2 linked regions of the Canis lupus familiaris genome follow. The protein of the gene in region 2 purifies or fractionates together with the protein of the main gene of each other region. This does not show direct contact. Links are inferred from orthologs where the notes say so. Each region holds a gene or a part of one and is shown on either strand. Other genes may lie near its edges.

What was found.
Region 1: the proteins of TAF15 (region 2) and HNRNPU purify together in Homo sapiens (affinity purification with mass spectrometry; 3 studies listed by BioGRID, with this or other methods). This does not show direct contact. The link is inferred for Canis lupus familiaris from reciprocal best matches to the Homo sapiens genes TAF15 and HNRNPU.

The regions. Positions count from the first base shown.
Region 1 is NC_049228.1:35,785,382-35,789,925, reverse strand, and holds the start of HNRNPU (heterogeneous nuclear ribonucleoprotein U), read left to right. Parts: upstream 1-1,523; 5' UTR 1,524-1,762; coding exon 1,763-2,453; intron 2,454-3,348; coding exon 3,349-3,460; intron 3,461-3,544; coding exon 3,545-3,618; intron 3,619-4,544. UniProt on the Homo sapiens protein: DNA- and RNA-binding protein involved in several cellular processes such as nuclear chromatin organization, telomere-length regulation, transcription, mRNA alternative splicing and stability, Xist-mediated transcriptional silencing and mitotic cell progression.
Region 2 is NC_049230.1:37,813,338-37,817,037, forward strand, and holds part of TAF15 (TATA-binding protein-associated factor 2N), read right to left. Parts: intron 3,149-3,700; coding exon 3,019-3,148; intron 236-3,018; coding exon 143-235; intron 1-142. UniProt on the Homo sapiens protein: RNA and ssDNA-binding protein that may play specific roles during transcription initiation at distinct promoters. Binds to ssRNA containing the consensus sequence 5'-AGGUAA-3'. Can enter the preinitiation complex together with the RNA polymerase II (Pol II).

The sequences.
Region 1 (4,544 bases), on a different chromosome or scaffold from region 2:
CTACATTTAAACTTTGATTCATGAAGGGACTAATTATCCAGTTTGTGAACCTGTAAGCCCCTGTAGCTCTCTTCCCATTCTTTGCAAAGAATTTGAAACTCCAGTTTGTGAGTTGTTTATAAGCTCCAAGGACATCGTAACCAAAGGCCAAATGAGTTTTTGGCACTATTTGGAAGTTCCTATTTTGGGTGCCTTCCCCCTCCACTGACTTTCACCGAGAATTAGCAGTACTGTACATACTCCATTAGTTAATTTCAACTGTCATTCCACAGATGTATTTCATCTTTATGACGACTGAGTGGTAAAACACATGGTTCTTGGAAGCTATGGAGAAGAAACTTGAAAAAATAAAATGCATTCAACGGTTAAATCATACTGGCCTCTGCTAGTATTGCTCCAGTTTCAAGTTAACATTCGGGGCAGCACTACTCCAGCTCCAGCACCACACAGTGGGTAGGACTGAGCTCTCTGATAGTGGGACGTTGTCTAGTCACTGTGCAGGCTTTCTTGGGGGTGTCGCATGCGCCCCTCTATCACGTATCTAAGTGCTGGCCCCCTGTGCGCAACCTCAAGAACCTAACATGCCTTTTATTTGGGAAAAGGGAAAAATCAAACTTCTAAAACACACCCAAATACACAACAGATTTCGGGAGCCGATTGTCTCTTTTTTCTTTCTTAGAAAATCCCGGCCCTTTGACTCGTCCTGAGCTCTTACTGGCTTCAGCACGACTTATGGGGGGTGTTCCTGCGGGGGGGGGGGGGGGGAGAGGCGGCGGAGGGCACGATCCGGGGGCGTGAGCTCGCGGGGGGCCGTCTGGGCGGGCGGACGTGCCCCTCCGAGGCTCGCCCCGCTCTCCCGCCCCGGGGCGGCCGGACCAGCCCTGCCATCCGGGCTGGGGAAGAGACAAAAGGGATGCTCTGTCCTCGCCCTTCCCGAGCCTAAAATCCAGGGCGCAGGGCAGGGCCTGGGAACATTCCACCAAATGCGAGACGGAAGGCACCCCCCGCGGGCAGGGCCTGCCCGTCCGTGCCGTACACATCAACACGGAAATAAGATTTCGAGGCGTTTTAAGCAGCGGGCTGGCGAGCGAGAGAAAGAGGCAGGCCCATCCAAGATGGAAGCAAGGCCGAGGGCTCGGGCGGAAGCCGCCGGGCCGGGGCCGGGGCCGGGGCCGGGGCCGCCGGGCTCTGGGTGCAGCAGCCCCGCGCCCGGGGGCCGAGAGCGAGGCGAGGGCCGCCAGCACCCAGCTCGGGAGGCCGCCCGGCTGCGGCGGATCGCTGTAACCGAAAGGCGGCCCCCCTCCTCCCCCAGCTCGGCCCCGCGGGAAGCGCACTGCGCGGCCGGCGCCGCGCTCTCGGCGGGTTGGGCGTGGGGGCGGGGAGGGCAGGGCGGGCGGGCGGGCGGGGGCGGGGGCGGGGCGCGGGGGCGGGGCCCCGCGGCGCGGGCGCGCTCCCCCCCGCAGCGGAGCTCCCGTCAGCGCAGGGGGCGGGGCGCCTATATTACGTGCGCGGCGCCGCCCCTGCGAGAGGACGTTGCGTGCTCGCTCGCGCCAGGCGAGTCTCCGCGTCTCCCTCGCGAACTCGGTGAAAGGAATTGGCGCCGTTCGACACCAGGCGGGTCCGCTCTGCAGCACGAACCCACCTCTAGCCGCAGCCGCAGCCGCCGCCCGGGCCGAGGAGCAGCCGCAGCAGCCGCCACCAGTGGCCGAGGGAGCGGAGCCGAGTTTGAGCCAGCGCCTAGCGGTGAATCGGGGCCCTCACCATGAGTTCCTCGCCTGTTAATGTAAAAAAGCTGAAGGTCTCGGAGCTGAAAGAGGAGCTCAAGAAGCGGCGCCTTTCCGACAAGGGCCTCAAGGCCGAGCTCATGGAGCGCCTCCAGGCCGCGCTGGACGACGAGGAGGCCGGGGGCCGCCCCGCCATGGAGCCCGGGAACGGCAGCCTAGACCTGGGCGGGGATTCCGCCGGGCGCTCGGGAGCAGGCCTCGAGCAGGAGGCCGCGGCCGGCGGCGACGAGGAGGAGGAGGAGGAGGAAGAGGAGGAGGAAGGGATCGCCGCCCTGGATGGCGACCAGATGGAGCTAGGAGAGGAGAACGGGGCCGCGGGGGCGGCCGACGCGGGCCCGATGGAGGAGGAGGAGGCCGCCTCGGAGGACGAGAACGGCGACGATCAGGGCTTCCAGGAAGGGGAGGATGAGCTCGGCGACGAGGAGGAAGGCGCGGGCGACGAGAACGGGCACGGGGAGCAGCAGCCTCAACCGCCGGCGACGCCGCAACAGCAGCCGCCACAGCAGCGCGGGGCCGCCAAGGAGGCCGCGGGGAAGAGCAGCGGCCCCACCTCGCTGTTCGCGGTGACGGTGGCGCCGCCCGGGGCGAGGCAGGGCCAGCAGCAGGCGGGAGGTAAGAAGAAGGCGGAAGGCGGCGGAGGCGGCGGTCGCCCCGGGGCTCCGGCGGCGGGTGAGTGCTGCGTTGTACGTTGCGCGCGGCGGGAGGCCCGCGCGGGGTGGGGACCGTGCCCCAGGCCTGCCGGAGCCCCGCGGGGGGGAGGGGGCGGGGGCCGCCGCGGGGGAGGCGGGGGGGAGGGGGCGCGGGGAATCCCGCCCGGCCGCGAGGCCTCGGCGGCCTCGGGCTCGGCGTGTGCGACGGCGGCGGCGCCTCCATTATGTGGCTGGAGGGCCGGGGGGTGGGGGTGGTAGCTGCAGCTGCCGCTGGAGGGGGAGGAGCCGCGGGCGGCGGGCGGGAGCCCGGTCGGCCCGCGGTGGCGCCGCTGCGCTGCGTGCGCGCGGTGCGGGCACATGTCTCGGGGGGGGGAGGGGAGAAGAGAGGCCCGAGGGCCCGGGGCGGGCGCGCTTTGGCGGCGCTGGGCCGCGGTATTGTGCAAGGAGCGCAGGGGCTCGGCGTGACGTCACTTCCGGCGGGAGGGGCCGGGCGGGGAGAGCGGGGCGGAAGATCAGTACAATGCGGCCGCGGGGAACGCGGGCCCGGGTGGGGGAGGGGAGGAGGGGAGGGGCGGGCGCGCGGGCCGGCGCGGCCCCTCCCCCCTTCCTGAACTCTCTCCGGGATCCACGTGGGCTCGGGGCCGGGGCCGCCCTGGGCTCCGGGAGCTTTCTCGAATCTTCGAAGAGGCTGGCAAAATTAGGAATGTCTTTAGACTGCGTCACTAGCTCCTGGCCGGTTCCAAGCTGATTGTTCTTTGAATTCGCGTTGGATTCGTCGGTTGAAATCGCTTGCAGAAAAGAACGGGGGAGTTAGGAGTATTTGCGTTCCCCAAACAGGAGGGGGGATTTTTTTTTCTTTTTCCCCGGTTGCGTCGCGGCTTGGCCCCTTATGTTAGGGGTGTTGTGTGTTATAGGAGACGGCAAAACAGAGCAGAAGGGCGGAGATAAAAAGAGAGGGGTGAAAAGACCTCGAGAAGATCATGGCCGTGGATATTTTGAGTACATTGAAGAGAACAAGTATAGCAGGTAGAGGATGCCGATCTAGTTTTACCCGTCCCCGTTCTTTCTGGGGTAGGAAAAGCTGAATCAGGAGACAATTCTGTCTTTCAGAGCCAAATCTCCTCAGCCACCTGTTGAAGAAGAAGATGAGCACTTCGATGACACAGTGGTTTGTCTTGATACTTGTAAGTGAAGCTGTTTCTTCCCTTTTCTCCCCCGGTTACTAAATGTGGCGATTTTGGTGCCAAAATGTTAGAGAACTTAAACGCAGTGTGCTGAATTTAAATGCAGAATACTTAGCGTAAACCGTTTACCTTTTTTAAAGGAGGGAGACGAAAGGTTTTATTCAGATTCTGGTAGCTAAATGTCTAATACAGCATCAATTGTGTCGTATTGATAATTTTATAGGCTCCAGCAATTTGGTGTTATTTTTTATATGATTAGAAAGTTCTCATTTATAGGAATGTAAAATTAATGGCAATTTTTGGTTTAGTTAGCTAATGGAAACTTGTAAGACAACCTGTAACTTGTCCTTTTAGGCTCCTACGATAAAGTAATTTAATTTTTTTGGTAGCATTTTATTAAGTGAGCTATTTGGGCTAGTTAAATACGTATTAATGATTTTTTCCCATTAGCACACAAGTATATTCCCTATTCTAAAAGATTGTAATATTACTTTTTCAATAACTGCTCTTTTGTTCTCAATTCCAGTTCAGTAGCTGCTGCTTTAACATAAGTTGATTTCTTCCAAAGACCTGGGGCAGCAGCAGTGGGCTATCACTGGGCTACTAGCTTTCTTCAGCAGCGAATGGTATCAATGGCAGCGCTGTAAATACTGCTACTTTACCCAGTTGGGTTGCAATTGAGTATGAGGAAGTATTGCAAACCTCTAAATGGGCCTTGGCTGTCAGATATGTAATTTTGCATAAAAATACTTTGTTCAGTATTTGATCAGAATGCACAGCTCTTTCACTTTGATAAATAGAGCTTAGAAATAATGGCTTGCTAAGTAGGTGGTCAGGTGTGAACCTGCCCCATAGATCTAGGGAGTTAAAGTTTAGATTTCCGTGTTTTCCAATACAAATTATTTTTAGCAAGATTTGTGAGAATG
Region 2 (3,700 bases):
CTAAGACAGAAGGAGAAAAAAACCTGTGGAGTAGTTCACACAACAGAGACAGAACATGGACTCAAATTTAAACCCTCTGTACAATATCCGGGCCTGAAACCCTTTGTACAATATCCAGGCCTGTGAGAAACAAGTGACTTACCTCGTCGCCCACCTCCACTTCCACCTCCTCTCATGAATTCAGGTCTTCTGGTAGCAAAGGACACTTTAATGATATTGCCATGGAATTCTTTTCCTAAGAAAAAAAGAGTTTTGAAGAAATGCTACTCCACATCTCCAACTCTCAATAAAATATAAAACTATCTTAGAAATTCTTAGTTTCAGAGCAGTAACACGTCCTCACAAAAATTCAAACACACCAGTGTTCCCTAAGGGTCAAAATAACAGTGCTAAAACATAATCTATTGAGTAAAGCAAATCTGTCACTTGGACGCAGTTACTTCTTACTAAGGAGAAAAAAAAGAAAAAAACCCACATCTAACATTTTTATATGAGAAGAGCCAAGTGCAGAACCATGTGTATAGTATGCTACCACTTCTGTTTTATAAAGGGGAATGAGTGTGTTGGTGAGCACAAGTGCCCTTACATGCACACATATGCTATATGTACATTGCCTATTATGCTCAACTCTCAGTAGGGAAAAACAGATCACTGGAGGTCAAAGGTAGAAAGCAAGCCCATTTTTTACTACACACTTCTGGTATAGTTTGAAACTTTTTTAACCATATACAAGTAGCATTTTTAAAAATAATACAGGCCCAAAAAATGAAAGCATATGTGATTGCTTACAAACACACACACACATATATATATATTCTGCCCCAGGGCCTTAGAGATAGTAATTAATCTTTTTACTTTATATTAAACCAGAAGATTCATAAAATGATTGCAATTCCAGAAGCCTCAGAATCCTGATCAAAGCCCTTATCATTATGGCTGGCAACTTTCCACAATATCAGACAGTATGACCTAGGAAGCCACTCAAGGATCAGTATTTTCAAAGCTACAGAATAACCTGAACTATGGAGTTAAGAGGCTCCCATGCCCTATGGGAAAAAAGCACAATTACTTTTAACATAATGAGCAAAAGAGATTGTGTTTTAATTCACCAAAACTATAGAAAACAAATGAGGAAAATGGACCACGTCTTAAAGAGCAAGGTGATAAGGCCTGACAAATTAATGCAAAAAAGTAAAGAATATGAAGATGACGACAGGAAGAGTATCACAATCTCATTTTTTAAGAAATAAAGAAATGCAATTATGTTTTGAAAGACATAGGTACAATCATCTCAGAACCAGAGGGACCTCAGGTATCTGTCAATTTCATCTAGTATGGTTAAGTCCTTTAGAGACTGTGGATCCAGACTGCCTGAGTTTAAATCCTGACTCTGCCAGTTATGCTATGACCTTGGAAAAAATTTTTTTAAAGATTTATTTATTTATTTATGATAGACACAGAGAGAGAGAGAGAGAGAGAGAGAGAGAGAGAGAGAGGCAGAGACACAGGAGGAGGGAGAAGCAGGCTCCATGCCAGGAGCCTGACGTGGGACTTGACCCCGGGACTGCAGGATCGCGCCCTGGGCCAAAGGCAGGCGCTAAACCACTGAGCCACCCAGGGATCCCTGACCCTGGAAATTATACAGCTTCTCTGTGTCTGTTTCAAAATCTAAAAATAGTAGTAATAGGGTGCATGTCTCATACAGTTATTTTGAGGACCAAACTGAATTAATGCATATAAAGTTTCTAGGACCATGTCTACACTATAAACCAGTAAACACGCAGTTGGTGTTGGTTCTAATTAGAGTATAAAACAATGAATTTCTAATAACATGGGGAAATGACTGTTAAAATGTTAAGTGAAAAAAAGATGAGACAAAACTACATTTGGAGTATAATGATAAACTATTTTTCTTAAATACTTTTAAAAGAATGGAAGGAAAAAAAATTTTTTTTAAATATTTTATTTATTCATGAAAGACACAGAGAGAGATAGAAACATAGGCAGAGGGTGAAGCAGGTTCCCTGCAAGGAGCCTGATGCAGGACTCAATCCTAGGACCCCCGGGATCACAACCTGAGCCAAAGGCAAACACTCAACCACTGAGCCACCCAAGATCCCCGTATTAAAAAATATTATAAAAAAAAAATATATATATATATATATATAAAATCAATGATTATCTCTAAGTAGAGGATTACAGATGCTTTACTGCTTTCTTCTACTTTCCCATATTTTCCTGTTTTGGGGGAAAAAAGTCTTAACATTTCTTCCAAATATGTATTAACTTTATATTTGAAGAGATATTAATCTAAATTTACAAAGAAGAGAGTTAAGCAGGTCAACCCTCTAAATTTCCATCAGGGTGGCTTCAAGCACAAGGTAGAGTAATAAGGAAATACTGGAGAGGGGATCCCTGGGTGGCGCAGCGTTTTGGTGCCTGCCTTTGGCCCAGGGCATGATCCTAGAGACCCGGGATCGAATCCCACATCAGGCTCCCGGTGCATGGAGCCTGCTTCTCCCTCTGCCTGTGTCTCTGCCTCTCTCTCTCTCTCTCTCTCTCTCTGTGTGACTATCATAAATAAATAAAAATTTAAAAAAAAAAAAAAAAGGAAATACTGGAGACAAACAATGAGAGAGCTCTTCTACCTCATTTCTAAAGATATGTAAAAACTCTGGTCTTCATTTTTTTTTCTAATGTTTTTTTTTTTTTTTAATTTTTATTTATTTATGATAGTCACAGAGAGAGAGAGAGGCAGAGACACAGGCAGAGGGAGAAGCAGGCTCCATGCACCGGGAGCCTGACGTGGGATTCGATCCCGGGTCTCCAGGATCGCGCCCTGGGCCAAAGGCAGGCGCCAAACCGCTGCGCCACCCAGGGATCCCTGGTTTTTATTTTTAATAAAAAATATCCACAAAAGTAAACATGAAAACAACCAGTTACTAGAATATATTTTGACTTCAAGACTAGAAAACATTTAACCAAACTGCATATTGAAACTATATGAATAAGATATACCATCAAACCAGTCAATGGCTGCCTTAGCTGAAGGAGGATCATCAAATGACACTGTTGCCTCTCCTTTTGGCTTCCCTGTGTCCTTGTCTGTATACAGATTTATCATTGGTTTTCCTGTCTTCTTATTTGTCTGAAGAAACAAAAAGCTGGTATCAGCATTTTAAGAAAAAGTAATCATAAACCACACAATTAAAGATTTTTTTTTAAAGGAATTCACATATCCATACTACAAATCTATGTACCTAATATAAAAATGAAGTTTTCTATTGGTTCTGAAAAGGAAAACTTAAGTAAAACCCAAGCTATGAAAATGATACAATGTTTTATCTATGTATAATTTCTTGAAACTCACAAAAAAAATGTAGATAATGCTTCATGTAAAAATGTACCTTGTAAAACATAAAAAAGTCAGGAAGAATGTACACCAGGCAAATTAATAGATTACCACTAAGGTATACAAACTGCAGCTGGCTGGGATGGGAGTGGAAGACAAAGAATGTTTACTCTTCAGAATTGCGTAAATTTTTTACATCATGTGGTAATACATTTCTAAAGAAATTTTAACTCCCCAAAAATGGGGTGAAAAAATGAGTAATTCCACAGACACCAAAACAAGGACAACTACAAACTGATTTCAGGCAATGCTACAATCTACCCAACACTACTTTAACTGCTGCTTTCT